Linked DNA regions of Zea mays. The protein of the gene in region 1 interacts with the protein of each later gene in a pairwise test. Links are inferred from orthologs where the notes say so. Each region holds a gene or a part of one and is shown on either strand. Other genes may lie near its edges. The genes, in order: guanine nucleotide-binding protein subunit beta, AGG2 and Coleoptile phototropism protein 1.

Region 1 (5,132 bases):
AAATCATTCTTTCTCTTCAGAAGCAAGCTAACAAGGATTATATCATCCCATTATTTTGGTGGCACTTGGCAGCCTTCTTTTGCCCTAGCTTTGATAAAAGGGGCCTGGGGAAGGGATAAACCGAGGCAAGCCTCCTCCCTGCTGCTAAAAATTAGGATCTTCCAGATTTATTGCCATTTAACTAGAGTATTTTTTTGTGAGGGCCATTTAACTAGAGCAGAACACCTCATCATGTTGCTAAAGTTATGAAAACTTTTGGAGACATGGACTTCCACCTGTTCGAAGATGCATAATTGCATATATTTGGATTTTGCGGTGATTCTTGGAAATTCAGCACTTCAGCTATCTGTGTAGGGTACTACTTGCAAAATTGCTGCATCAAATGGTTTAGTGGTATTCTATTAACTCCTAAGTCATCAATCATCACAGGTATATTCTCTGGATTGGACCCCTGAAAAGAATTGGATAGTCAGTGCCTCTCAAGATGGAAGGTTAATTGTGTGGAATGCATTGACAAGCCAGAAAACACATGCCATAAAGCTGCATTGCCCATGGGTTATGGCGTGTGCTTTTGCACCCAATGGCCAATCTGTCGCCTGTGGTGGTCTTGATAGTGCGTGCTCTATTTTCAATCTCAATTCTCAAGCAGACAGAGATGGGAACATGCCAGTATCAAGAATTCTTACTGGACACAAGGGCTATGTCTCATCATGTCAATATGTCCCAGATCAGGAAACACGTCTTATTACTAGTTCAGGTGATCAAACATGTGTTCTTTGGGATGTTACTACTGGACAGAGGATATCAATATTTGGTGGTGAATTCCCATCAGGGCATACAGCTGATGTTCAAAGGTAATTGGTAGTGCTTCTGATTTTTTGAAGACTGAATATTTTAGTGCCATGTGTAGCGCTTCTGATTTCTCTCCTCAAAGTTAATTGGTATCTTCTCATTTGTACATTTTTAACTTAGGCTGGTGCACACTAGGTTGCTAGCTTTACCAATATGTCAATGTTCGATGATCAAATTATCCCTATTGCTTCTAAAGTTTTCTTTGTAAACTGAATATTATTCATGTGGATTTGAATAAAGTTTACCTACAATGACTGGTTTGTATTTGTCTGCTGTTACAGTTGGACAATGAAAACGTACTTTTTAGTACTGAATGTAATTTTAGTAATAACAAGTACTCCTTCCATTCCAAATTGTTGGTATTTTAGTTTGTCATAAATCAAACTTCTCTATTTGTGCAGCAGTTCTAGTTACCCAAAACACTGTTTTGCACTGTAGACTCTACTATTCACAGAGTAGAGTTTGACTATGAGTATGGGTATGGGTAAACTGCTGGAGATAGCCTTAGGTAACTGTGTGTGTATTCTCTCCTGTAATGGGCTTTGGCCCACATACTCTGCTATACTAATACATTCCCAACCCACATTAGGGTTAGGGTTTCAGTGCATTTAACACTATTTACTAAGTTTATTGAAAATGCACCAATATCTACAATATCAGATTAGTTTCATTGATCCACCATGAGATATGACTTGGTAGTGCATTTTTCCACTCTCTGACCCAAATTATAGGTCGTTTTGGCTTTTCAATTTTTGCTATATAGCTAGATATACAATATGTCTAAATACATAATAGAGGTTATGTATCTACAAAATCCAAAACAACCTATAAATTGAAATGGATGGAGTATTTGGTATTGTGTGCGCATGTGCGTGCTTGTTGGACCGGAGGTGGAGTGGTAAGGTCTTCACATGGTAGCACAGTAGGCATTTGGATAACACTCTTGCCTAAGATTGCTGATATTACATCACTTATTATGGATGCAATTGCCCTAGTACAATTGGGCACTACTTACCAACTAGTCTAGCAGACGCATGTGCAAAATATGTTGTCTATGCAGCAAATACATGAACCAAAGTAACATATGGTAGCACATTTATGTTGCGTTTTTTAACTGAAAGTGCTGGTTTATCAGGTTATCATTGATATTTGGAGTTTGGTTTTGAATTCTCTGACCTTTCCCTTTCTTGTTCAGTGTGTCCATCAACTCATCAAATACAAATATGTTTGTCTCTGGCTCATGTGATACAACTGTGAGGCTGTGGGATATCAGAATTGCAAGTCGAGCTGTTCGAACCTACCATGGACATGAGGATGATGTTAACAGTGTGAAGTTTTTCCCTGATGGCCATAGGTTTGGTACTGGCTCAGATGATGGCACATGTAGATTATTTGATATGAGAACAGGGCATCAACTTCAGGTGTACAGTAGGGAGCCTGATAGAAATAGTAATGAACTACCTACTGTTACATCTATTGCATTTTCAATATCAGGAAGGCTACTTTTTGCTGGTTACTCCAATGGTGACTGTTATGTGTGGGACACACTTCTCGCCGAGGTTTGCATTTTTACCATTTACCATGGATTGAATACAGCTTATTTTATATTACAAAGGAAAACTAATGCCCATAATCAACAAGTTACTGGTACACTTTACTGTTTCGCCACGGTTTTCTTAATCGAGAAAAATATGACATACAGTTCACTTGGTGTGAGCCACATAAATTCAATGTTAGGCAATCAGTTAACACTAGTGATATAATCTTTATGTTAGATAAGCATAACTCCATTGCCAGTCAGTAGCAATATAAGCATACAAATGCGAAATCTAGCCACGGGAGAAAGCAATGGAATATGATGAACTAACTGCCTAAATTTTTATTTGAAATGCTCCTCAGCAACTATTGCAATTGCATGAATTGATGTTTGCATTGGACCCAGGACCTCATGAATAAGTAACCTAGCCTCGGTTCCTTCCATATTAGTCCACATATATCATCAACCTAGACTAGGCAGGTCATGCATACAAATTTAGAGGATGCTGCTGCAGATCACCTTGTATTGTATCAAGAGATTCCTAGTTAGTGCTATATGCCAAGAGGTTTAGAACGTTGGTTTTGATTTAGGCCAACTTAATGGATAATTGTATACCTGCATTTAAAAGCTTATCTGAGTTCAAGTTATTGTGAAGGCTTGTCGGTCACCTCCGTTATTTTTTATCTGTTTGTCATTATTGTTTATAGTACCTTCTGTTGTCAATTTCCGTTGAAATTTTGCAGGTGGTACTTAATTTGGGAAACCTGCAAAACTCCCATGATGGCCGTATAAGTTGCCTCGGGATGTCATCTGATGGGAGTGCATTGTGTACAGGAAGCTGGGACAAAAATTTGAAGGTAAGGACACTTAAGAAAGATCATTTTCATTGACTGCTTCCTCAGTTTTGTTGAATTGTTGCCTTTGACACTAACAGTTTTACTCTAACTGAAGTAGTAGTTGTACTACATGCATACTCAGCTTATGCTGTTTGTTAAACCCTACTCAAAGTGAATACCTTTCATTAGAGTACTCTGGTTAAATCTTTACTTGGTATTGATGACGAATACTCTTTGGATTGAAATACGGTACTTCTTAGTTCTTGGTACCTAGGATGGAATAATGGATTATACTCTTCTTTTTCCCCACTCTTAGCATATTCTATCACTAATCCTGAGAATTCCCAGATAAATAGTAGTTTGGTGCAAATTTCAGTATTTTTTATATCGATGGTGTCAATTGTTGAAAATTTACAGATTTGGGCCTTCAGTGGACACCGGAAGATAGTTTGAAGGCCAACTTTTCTCCCCCATGTTGTATGTTCCTTGTTGCCCCTTAACAACGGACAGTGGTGATTGGTGACCAACTCGACTTGTTCCTGGGAATCCCTTTGTTGTTTTGTAAGCTCTGTTCGCGCTATGTTTAATGGAAAAATGTGCAATTTGTCAGTGTCACGGCGCTACATCTTGTTGAGTTGGTAACTGTTTATACTGTTATTACGAGAATATCAGTAACGTGTGATCTGCCCTTTTCTTTGTACAACCGTTTGATCTTTTCAGGTTTTGTGAAGTAGCATGTATTTCCTTAATCAATTTATCATATCAGTTTGTCCATTTGCTGAATTAAGAACATTAGCTTAATGGGGCGTACTATATGCATTTTATGTTTAGTAATCACCACACTTTTGAAGCATGAATTTCTTTGTGCATCCTCCTCCCTCCCTTTGCCCCAGCGACTGGCGAGCAAAGAATGGGGCGTGCAGGATTCAAACTTTGCCTCACTTCCTTCCCTGGGGCTAGTTTGGGAACTATTTTTTAAGTGATTTCTATTTCTCCAAGAGAAAATAAACTAATTTTCTTGGAAAAATGTAAATCCTTTGGAAAATGGGGTTCTCAAACTTGCCTTTTCATATCCACTTGTCTTGTATAAAGAAAAAAATATTATAAATAATCATAATAATGCACTGGCAACTAACTACAAAATACTAGTATTTAATATATGTGCATGAGGCAAGGCGAAGCAAATGTTTATCTTGAGTGTACTCTCGAAGTCATAAAATAATAATAATAAATAAATGTACATGATGCGAGGCGAGGGAAACATCAAATATCAAAACTGTTGTTCCAGGTATGCATCTTTCATTGACTTGTCATTCCCACTAAGAACCCAGCCAAACTCCCAGAAACGTCCATGACCCAGGAGACGCTGCGAGCCAACCGAACCTTAGGCTGAGTCCACCCTCTCGCCCCTGCCACGTCAGCTCTCGCCTCCACTCTCGCCCCGGCTGCTCCAGTGCACAGGCTGCAGCAGGCTACAGCCTCAGGCTATAGCCACGTCAGCTTTTCTATTTCAGAATTAAGTAATTCACGCGGATTTATTTCAACGCTGAGAAAACACACAACATAATATTTTTTATTGAATTAAAAATTACAAAGTACGTAATAATTAAAATAAAATAACATGATAATTAAAATAAAATTACAAAGTATATATAGAGGGATTGGGGATGAAATTTGTGATATTTTGCAATTTTTTTCGAATTTTTTGGGCTCCAAACGGTCAAAAACGGCTAGTTGCAACGGCTAGCACACGTGGACCAATCAGATCGCGACACGTGGACCAATCAGATCGCGTCACGTCGCTCTCGCCCGCGCTCTCGCCCCGCCAGTGCCTCGCCTCCCTCTCGCCTCCCTCTCGCCCGCCTCTCGCCCAGGCGAGCGCTCCAGCGCGGGCGAGAGCGAGGCGA
Region 2 (5,132 bases), about 4.9 Mb from region 1:
CCCCATTGTTGTCACATTAGATGTTCAATGGACTAGAGGCATTAGGAAACACAGCAAGCTCGATGAGGATCTTCCGTATCCAAACACCTTCCTTCACAAATTCAGAAGCTGCAATGTACTTGGCTTCTGTTGTAGAATCAGTCACAGTCTCCTGCTTGGAACTCTTCCCGCTAACAACACCACCATTTATTATGAACACAAAACCTGATTGCGATTTTAACTCGTCTGGATCAGTTTAGAAGCTAGCATCGGTGTAACCAGTTACAACGAGCTCCTCCGAACCCCCATATACCATGAACATATCTTTAGTCCTTCTCAATTACTTAAGAATGCCTTTTACCGTTGTTTAGTGATCCTCACTTGGATCAGTCTAGTGCCTACTCATAGCACTTATAGCATATGAAACATCTGGGTGTGTACTTATCATGGCATACATGATTGATCCAATTGCCGAGACGTACGATACCTTACTCATGCGCTCTCGCTCATTAGCTGTTGTAGGACACTGCTTCTTCATAAGGTGTATACGATGTGACATAGGTAAGAACCCTTTCTTGGACTATTCCATGTTGATCTATTTTAATACCTTGTCAATGTATGTATCTTGACTTAATCCTATAAGCCACTTCGACCTATCTCTATAGATCCTTATGCCCAAAATATATGTTGTTTTCTCTAAATCTTTCATATAAAAACTCTTTTTCAGTGAAACATTGATGGACTCCAGCATAGGAATATCGTTCCCAATCAATAATATGTCATCCACATACAAGATCAGAAATACAGCAGCGCTCCCACTTTCGTTCTTTTAAACACAAGCTTCTTCATTCTGATGAAAACCAAACCCTTTAACCACTTCATCAAAATGAATGTTCCAACTCCGAAATGCTTGCTTCAACCCATAAATAGATTTCTGAAGTTTGCATATCTTTCCAGCATTGATCGGATCGACAAAACCCTCGGGTTGTATCATATACACATCCTTATCTAGTTTTCCATTAAGAAAAGTTGTTTTGACATTCATTTGTCAAATCTCATAATCTGTCAAATCTCATAATCGAAATATACGACAATAGCTAGTAAAGAACGATTTAATTAGTACTTTATATTATTTTAAAAAATGAAAACTGGAAAAGGAAAAGAATTGGAGGAAGAAACGGACAGGATAACCGAGTGGGAGAGTGGGAGTTGGTCACTTGGTCTAGTACTCTAGTACAGTTGTTAGAATAAACCCTCCACTGTCAGAGCCCAAACCTCTCACGTTAACCAAAAAAAAGGGAAATTTGGATTCATACCATTAAAAGATCACCACTTTGAATCCATACCATTACTATCTCACTTACATGTGGGTCCACATGAGTCAATGACATGTGAGGTCCATGGTATATATCTAAAGTTTGGATCTTTTAATGGTATAGATCCAATTGTTCAAAAAAAAAAAAAAGGCAGAACCTTTCTGGTCTGGCCACCCGCATTCCGTGACAGTTCCTCGTCTTCTTCCTCTCCGCCTGCTCGCTTCCCCAACCCACTCACGCTTCCGCTGTGCCTGCCAGTTACCTTGCGCCTCACTGGATCGCACCAACCCTCTCCCGCTCATCGGACGGCGATGCAGGTCGGGGACGGCGGTGGGGACTCGGCGGACTTGCGGGGCCGCCACCGGATCCAGGCCGAGCTCAAGAAGCTCGAGCAGGAGGCGCGCTTCCTCGAGGTGTGTGCCCCTGTCTCCCCTCCCCCCATGAACTCGCTTCCTGCCTCGTCGATTCCATAGCGTTAGTGCGTACTATGCTGGCTTGGCTGTGTTCCAAAAAGAATTGATCATCGCAAAAAGGAAAACTCCTTTTCAGAGGACTTCTTGGTGGTATGATCTCCTGAAATGCAGGGGTAGGGAGTATCCATCCCACCGAATTCGGCCAAGCATGCTGCTTTCTAGCCCAATGGTCAAAGTATGCAGAACAGTCTAGAACAATCCGTGGCATAATTTCCGAGATTCATATTCTCCCTCTTATGATCCATGAGGAAATAATGGCCATGGGAAGTTAGGGACATCTTTTCTTGCTATGGTTTCCCAAGACCCGCGTTTTCCTGCGTTCCTTCCTCGTGGAGGTGCAGGTGGGTCTGGGTTGGGAGAAGCAGCCATGTGCATGTGCAAGTGCAAGCTCCATGTGCTCTTTGTTTCCTGCCTTGTCCTGCTGCAACAATGTGCTTGTTGCGAATATTCATTTTTCCGTTCCGTTGTGTGGGCCTTTTTTCTGATGGGGACAAACGCGGAGTAGCTCTTTCTGTCCGACTAGTTGGAGTTTTATGCCTTGATAGATATATTGCAGTCTGTAGTCGAAAACCCTACTGATTCTTCTGCACCAAATGATTGGGGACAGTGTACTGAAGACTGAAACCTCTGATGAGGCGTGGTGATGCTCCTTTCTGGGTGGGTGGGTGGGGGGACCTGTGGCCATGGGAACCTGTTTTCTAGTTTCTGAGATGCAGCGTCTGTACTTTAAATATATGTACTTATTTGTGGGACAGCACATAGCAGTGTTGGTTAAAACCATTTATAAAGCAGAACATATTTCTTTTCTAATAAGTATACTTGAGCAGCAAGATCAGCGAAAGTGATTTTATTAAGGACATAGAGCCTGCTACCATTTATATATGCATTATCTATTTATCTTTGACATTCTGAAGCTGGAGCCATGAAGCTAAGCAGCTAATAATAACTGACAAGCTCGTATGTTGGCTCAGCAATGTCTTATGGTAAACTTGTATGTTGGGCAAGGGACATATCTTGAACATTACTGTTTGCTTGTTTGACGTTGTTGTTTTTTTTTTTTTTGCTGAAATATTTGTTTATATGTTTATAAGGCACCGAAGAATTCATGCAAGTTTAAAAGCATGTAGAACTGTCGAGTCTTGATAACTTTTAATAGCATCCTAGTTCTTTATATGGTGAAATCCTTCCATTGACATCTACGAGCTGCAGTCTTTCTGAAGCAGAAATACCAGCAGATACCATCAAGTGATGGACATACTGTACCTTCCAAGCATGTAGTAATGCAGCATGGTCATTCCTGCTCCCTCTGTTTTTTATTAATCAACAGCCTGGATCCGACAGATAGATCATCAGACCTTCCAGAAAATAACATTTTCCACAAGTTTTACTTGTGAATGTGATATAGACAACTTATCATAAGCTTCACTTTTTTGGCCAAATTGTGATGATTCGTCTGCATTGTTTTTGGCCGTTATCATTTCCATTCAGGTAGAGATTGGATTATCGATTTACTGTCCACATGGCCCATCCTGTAGCATCTTTGTGTACATATAAAGAGCATCTTCAATTGTCATTTTTGTTTCTGAATCTTCAGCTTATGCCCTGGCCCACAACATATACGCAAATAAGCAAAGCTACACATTACCAACTAACCACATAATAAATTTATCAATATCAGTGCTGTAGACTACATTTCCTCTGCGTTCTGGACATTATCGTCAGATCTGTCAAAGTTTTTTTTCCTTTTGTTAATACTCCCTCCGTCCCAAGATATAAGGCGTAACCACTTTTTATTCTTGTCCCACAATATAAGGCGTGCTCTCTCTATGCATACGTATATCGATGCAGTGGTATAGAGACAATTAAATGCATTTCTTGGTCTTTGAACCAGAGGTGGTTACGCCTTATATCCTGGGACGGAGGGAGTACATAATAACTATGCACAAGTGGCAAAGATGTAATTACTATCTAAGCTGTTGTAGTTTTCCACCCTTACCTAAGTAGTGATGTTCTCAGTTTTCAAACACTGATGCGTCAGTGCGATTGAGTGCAGGAGGAACTTGAAGAGCTCGATAAAGCGGATAAGGTATCATCTGCGTTGCAAGAGTACGTGTCACCTGCAGAAGAAATGTGATTTAAACCCAGCATTTTGCTATGGTGCTTATGATCTGAAGGCAATTTTTATATGGCTTGTTGCTGGAGATTGACTGGGCTGTTTTACGTGGCCAGGTTTCTAATAGCAATGGAAAGAAAAGCTGACCCTCTACTTCCTGTGTAAGAGAAGCGAAAAAGTTACTTATGTTGCTTTTTATCCAAACATCTAACTGATATATTCACAATATTGCCTTTGCTTGTTTGTTTGTTTTTCGTTTCCCCTGTTGTTGCAGATCTGCTGGACCTGTGAATCAGTCCTGGGATAGGTGGTTTGAAGGTCCTCAAGATCTGCGCGGATGCAAATGCTGGTTTTTGTGATACTGGGCAATATTATCAAGAGAAACAGCAAGAGGCGATTCTTGCTACCATTCAAGTGTACATCATTTTTTTTGTCCCCGCAGTATAACCAGTATCCATTTGAGGCGAGGATTCTGGATGGCATCATCCAAAGATCCGTGTAAGGCGTGAAGGACTCAGGAAATGGCCTGAGAAGTGAGGACAGAAATCTGGAATTCAAAAGTGACAAACTTTGTCCTAACATGTTCTCTGTAGACTGAACTGAACTCTTGTTGACTGGCAATCAGTTTGTTTTGTGTTTATCCAACCCAAATGCCTTACTTTTCTGTGATCCTTGTGCTACTAACATTTCAAATTATTGTACCATGGCGTGGGAACTTACATAATCCACGTGATTGGTTACCCTGCTCGCCATATTCATGTCAGCGTTGACCGTGTGTGAGCTAGTGATTGGTTGCCTGCGGGAGCACGACTCTGGCTTGTACGCGCTGCTGCAGCCTAACATTTTTACCTGCTCGCTTGCATGCGCGGGGAAATAGAAATCTGACATCGCCAGGCCACCGCCAGACCGCTCCAGTACGATGGCAGCTGACTCTTTGCTGTGACCAAGAAGGCATGTTTTTTTCCCCGAATTACGATTGATTGATATACACAGACGTGTAATCTTCACACGGTTTCCTGTGAGCGTATCAGCGTATGGGGCATGTCGTACTCCTGCTTGCTTACCCAAGGCCTGTTTTTGTTTTGCTATATTGGACGTACATGTATATTAGTACGTATGTGTACATACATCTACGGTGGAGTATGTGTGCATGCTTTTTTAAACAATACCATGCGTAATATTATATTGTTGGTGCCGATTTGAGCACCAATCATTGCGAGCTGTACTGCAGCGGTACTTTCTGCGGAGCCA
Region 3 (5,132 bases), on another chromosome or scaffold:
CGGGCCGTCCTTGGTGAGACCCGGGAGCCATTTGGATGCGTAGTGGGTGATGGACGCGCCGATGAGATCGAACCGCATGCCTACCACAAAGAGAAAGAGGCAACGAACAGGAAATTGTTTCGATTACTAGCTTCACTCACAAATGATAAAGTAACAATGTTGTGTATCATCAATAATTCCTCTTTATTATGCTGATACGACACAAGAGTACCATAGGTAAAAAAAAAAATAGATGAAAAGAAGAAAAAAGATAGAGCACGAAGTGGAGGCCAGAGTCACGTTAATATTGGGTGCAGTTTAATTACTAACACACACATGGTTTATATTACTTTCATTTTAATTTATAATTTGTTTGACTTTTTTAGTCGAGTTTGATCAGCTCGTCTTATTACTAGCACACACACAATTTATTTCTCACATGAGGCTTTGCTTGAGTACTCTAGTATTTAGATCAATACACATGTATTAAGGTGCATTGAAATGTAAATTAGTTTAACTTACACTTTAGGGTTTGTTCGGTTAGCTCTCAATTCATGTGGATTGAGTGAGATTGGATAGGTTCGAATCTCAAATAAGTCAAATTTATTCTTATTTTTTTCCAATCATATCTAACCCATGTGTATTGGGAATAACCGAACAAAATTCTATTCAATCCATGTGTATTGGGGCAACTGATGCAAATTATGTTCAGAGTCTGTTGGTTTATTTGGTGCTGATGGGCAAATGGAAGGGTCTCCGTGCGTCCCATTCCCACGGCCCACGTCGGCGGCGATCTGATCCTACCGGCCGGCATCTCCCTCCAAATAGAATGGAAAGGACGATGTGACGGCTTGCCACTCAGAGCGTTGTGGCTCCAACATTCCAACATCAACGAAACCGCCAATGAAAACAACAGCTGGCGTAATTTGCACTGGTTCTGAAAGCTAATGGAACTGGAAGGCTAGTTTAATTTTATCTCGTTTTCATGTAGAAGTTGAATAAAAAAATTTCTACCGTTTGGTTTCACGGGATTCATCAAATTGATTTGGTACCAAATTAAGGGGAAGACACACATATATGGTGACCAGGAGTGAAGCCGGGGCCCAGCTTCACTGTCGACGGCAGCTCATGTGATTGTGCCAGTGTCTTGGGCTCTTGGCACAGCTTGAACAATGCACACTGTGCTCCACTGTTCATGACACTTGCGCCATAAAACTATTTTGTTTTTTGTTTTCCCTCACATGCATGCGCGCAGATAAGAATGTTGTTTTCTCGACAGGGAGGAACATTGAACGGTACTAATAATCCGTGCTGCACTCATGTAGCTGGATCAGTACGTGAATGGTCCATCGATCTAGCTGTTAGCTAGCTAGTACTAGTACTAATCAGAGTTTTTTTTTGTGTGTGTGTGGAAGGAGATACTAATTGGAGATAATACCTTCTTAAACATGAGCATTAATATAAGATACAGTGTGATTAAGCTAGCGGTCGATCGCTATGGTACGGTACCTTTGACCTTGATGGCGGTGACGACGCGCACGAAGTGGTCGATCCGGAGCATGGACACGTCCTCGAACCACCAGTCCGGCGGCGGCACGGCCTGCCGGCTCGGGCTCGACTCCTTGGAGTCCCCGCCGCCGCCGCCGAGGTTCCACCGGGGGCTCGCCGTGCCGCCGCCGGCGCCTGCCCTGGTGGTCGGCATCGGCCTCCCCCCACCGCCGCCGGTGTAGGCCCAGCGCACGCCCCGCGGGTTGGCGCAGGCCTTCCAGGCGATGGACTCGCTGCAGCGGCGCACGATCTGCAGGTTCTCGGCCCAGGGCGAGAGGCCCTCGCAGGTCTTGAGCACCACGATGGAGTCCCGCCACGACGACAGCACCACGTAGCTGAGGAACGCCTCCGTCTTGAAGATGAGGTTGCCTTCCTCCAGCTCCTCCGTCATCTCCAGGTACTCGGCGGCGCAGCGCAGCCCCGAGATGTTGCCCGCCGTCAGGTCCACCGCCATGCCGTAGCAGAACCGCGCCGCCAGCTCGAACGAGTCCGCGCCGCCCGGGACGTCGTCCAGCTCCACCACCACCGCCGCCGCCGCGCCCGAGTCCGGGGCCGCCGCCGCCGTCTCGTAGATCACGCGGCTCATCCGCCCGCTCCGGGAGATCATCGGGTACTGCGGGCATCAGGGGTGCAGGCGCGCGCGCGTGCGCATGCATATATTGGATATGAATATGATCGTGTGGTTGCAGCTAGCACGACGTACGGGAACAATAAATTATGAAATAATTAACAAAGCCACTAGCAGCTAGCTACCTTGTGAAGGTGGAAGCTAACATCTCCAACTTTGACAAGCAAATCGCTGGGAATATCGCTGTTTACATACCTGCTCAAAATCATTCGCTCGGAACGGTGAACATCAACTTTAATTAATTAGCACTAAAATTATATACATGGATGAACGAAGTATATAGCTAGCTAGCTAGCTAGCTAGATGTACCAGGACTGGTCTCTTCGAACAAAGCCGTCGTTCTTGAGCGCTGCCTCGTACCGGCCCGAGGAGCCGCCGCCGCCGACAGGGACGAGCCCGCGCTCGCGCTCACCGGCATGGCAATCGCCCTCTGACTCCCACATCGTCTTCAATCGACGCTCGCCTCGCCTTGACTGAACGACTACAGAAGCTTGTGTGTGTGCGTGTATATAGCTCTCTCCGGGGTGCTCTCTCTCTCTCTCTCTCTATATGATATTCATGAAAAGAAATGGACAGACGAGCAAACTTGTCATTACTACTGCCTTCATTTGGTTCCAGATAAGAAGTCATTTTTTTAGTTAAAATATCTCTAATTTGACCAACACACTATAAAAATTGCATTGACAAAGGTCAAATCGGAGATACTTTAGCTTTCAAAAAATATTAAATGACTTATGATTTAGAAATTTAAATGGATTATAACTTAGAGTGGATGAAGTAAGGTAGTCCAATTTAAGAAACTAAAATGGTTACTTCATATGGAAACTGCGCGAGTGCACGCGGATGGGAGATGATGAATAAGCAGCAGCACTGCAGCAGGGTACTGCAGCCGTCCTGCTCTCGTTGTCGTTGCAACTGTGTATGTAGTACTCCCTCCCCTTCCTTGAAAATGTAGTTAAATTTTAAAGTATTTGATTTCGTAAAAGTACAAGATGTATACATGTTTTACGATGGTGGAAAGTAGGTGTTGATTTACGATTGACAATACCAGCAGCGGCTGATGCTGCTGCTAGCCACTCGCTATATGGCAGTGGAGAAGCGACTTCCATACAAAAGGAGCACTATTTTTTTTTGACAACGGGAAACCCCCTATTTCATTAAAAAATAGAAACCGATCACAGTTCTTACAAAATTCCCGACTTAACCAACAACTGCAAGCCGATAAGCCTACTACATTATCAGCTACGCAGTGTTATAAAATCCAACTGAAGGAACATAGCAAACCAGAAGTAATCTGAAAGACTAACAGTCATCTATGGAGATCAACTAGGGACAGTTCCCAAAAGCAGCCTGACCCGCCAATACCAGCGACGACTAAAGCTAGTTTTTATCTACCAAAGCAGATAAGCTGAATACATCCAAGAACAAAAAGATGCATAAGCAGCAGCAAAATGTCACTGGAGGCGTCTATCGACCGGCTTCCAACCATATATTTTAATTACATCATTTTTTATGATAGTAATCATGTTTAAGCTGCTTAACATGATTATTAGGTATTATTGTAGTACAAATATCATAAAAAATGATAAATAAATATTAAATAACTTGCTTATAATGTATAGGGGAATGGTTGAAGATGGAGAGGTCTAAGATGTAATAAGATATAATAGAAAGTATAGGTAAAGGGAGATGAATATGGGGAATAGCTCGTGATATAACCCGAGCTGGACTTCTACTCCCTCTGTCATAAAATAAATCTACATATCTCGCATTTGAAAACAGTTAAATAATCTAAACTTCGATCAAATATATGTTAAAACTATTAATATTCATGGTGCTAGCTATATAGTCACTATTGAATTAACGGCATCATATCTTTTATAGTAACGGACGTACAGATATCGATACTGATATCTATAAATATAATTAAAGTTGAGGTTGATTATTTTGTCGAAATATGAAATAAAGACTTTTTCTTTTTGAAGGGAGGCTAGCCAGCAATAGCAAGCAAGTAGAGGGTGGCCGGATGGATATAGGCCGGCGGGAGAGAGGAGAGGGGGAATAGGTGTGTATCTCGGTTGGTTGGTGCTGCTGATTATTGGATCTGGATCGTACGTCGCGCGAGCGAGTGCGGGCGCCGGTCGTCGATCGATCGTAGGCTCATAGGTTATGGGGCCGTGGTTCGTCGAGGAGCTAGCGATGGAGAGAGCACATGGGGTGTTTTGCTCTCGGCGTTGGACGACCTAGCGAGCTGCTCCTGATAGCACGTACTCGGATATGGTGGTCACCGCGCTCACCACCAGGCACCAGCTGCCTGCTTCTCCTCCTCGTCGTTACCTGCAGACAAATAGGTAGCCAGCAGATCGAGAGGTCTCGGATCAGCCGCTCTCCGGTATATGCGCTCCATCGCTAATCTGTTTAGCCTCCCAACAAGCAAGGATTATACATTGCTTCGCGCGCCTTGCTTCGTGCCATCATATGAATACAGTACCAAAATCCGACTCGAGTACTTTGCGCTTTACCGAGTGATAAAACAATTCTTTATTATATAAAGTTTATTCACTAATTTTAAAACATATAATTTTTACAACTTATAGCAAACAAGCAACCCTAACTTTTAGCAGCCTAAGTTATTTTCGATGGCCACGTGGAAACCGTTAGAAACGAGATGCTTAGTTTCATTGGTCATGTCTCAGCCACCAAAAATAATATTATTTTTGATGGCCACGTGGAAACCGTTAAAAACGAGATGCTTAGTTTTATTGGTCATGTCTCAGCCACCGAAAATAATATTATTTTTGATGGCCACGTGCTAGCCGTAAAAAAACGCTGTCAAAAATAACACTTCCCCGCATCATGCACATCAAGCACATGAGATTTGTCGATCCATAATTGTTTATTATTTGGATAGCCTCCAAGTGGTCTATGTAGCATGATATTTATGACGAGATATTTGGTTTGAATGAAAATTTGATGC

Evidence for each region.
Region 2: the proteins of guanine nucleotide-binding protein subunit beta (region 1) and AGG2 interact in a two-hybrid assay, tested with the Arabidopsis thaliana proteins (2 studies listed by BioGRID, with this or other methods). The link is inferred for Zea mays from reciprocal best matches to the Arabidopsis thaliana genes AGB1 and AGG2.
Region 3: the proteins of guanine nucleotide-binding protein subunit beta (region 1) and Coleoptile phototropism protein 1 interact in a two-hybrid assay, tested with the Arabidopsis thaliana proteins (2 studies listed by BioGRID, with this or other methods). The link is inferred for Zea mays from reciprocal best matches to the Arabidopsis thaliana genes AGB1 and NPH3.

Annotation. Positions count from the first base shown.
Region 1 is NC_050096.1:264,530,802-264,535,933, reverse strand, and holds the end of guanine nucleotide-binding protein subunit beta, read left to right. Parts: exon of another isoform or gene 1-429; coding exon 430-854; intron 855-2,047; coding exon 2,048-2,411; intron 2,412-3,132; coding exon 3,133-3,246; intron 3,247-3,642; coding exon 3,643-3,678; 3' UTR 3,679-3,989; downstream 3,990-5,132. UniProt on the Arabidopsis thaliana protein: Guanine nucleotide-binding proteins (G proteins) are involved as a modulator or transducer in various transmembrane signaling systems.
Region 2 is NC_050096.1:259,635,291-259,640,422, forward strand, and holds AGG2, read left to right. Parts: upstream 1-1,489; 5' UTR 1,490-1,606; coding exon 1,607-1,708; intron 1,709-3,821; coding exon 3,822-3,874; intron 3,875-3,997; coding exon 3,998-4,042; intron 4,043-4,155; coding exon 4,156-4,240; 3' UTR 4,241-4,546; downstream 4,547-5,132. UniProt on the Arabidopsis thaliana protein: Guanine nucleotide-binding proteins (G proteins) are involved as a modulator or transducer in various transmembrane signaling systems.
Region 3 is NC_050100.1:178,902,791-178,907,922, forward strand, and holds the start of Coleoptile phototropism protein 1, read right to left. Parts: upstream 2,601-5,132; 5' UTR 2,599-2,600; coding exon 2,465-2,598; intron 2,351-2,464; coding exon 2,281-2,350; intron 2,141-2,280; coding exon 1,489-2,140; intron 81-1,488; coding exon 1-80. UniProt on the Arabidopsis thaliana protein: May act as a substrate-specific adapter of an E3 ubiquitin-protein ligase complex (CUL3-RBX1-BTB) which mediates the ubiquitination and subsequent proteasomal degradation of target proteins.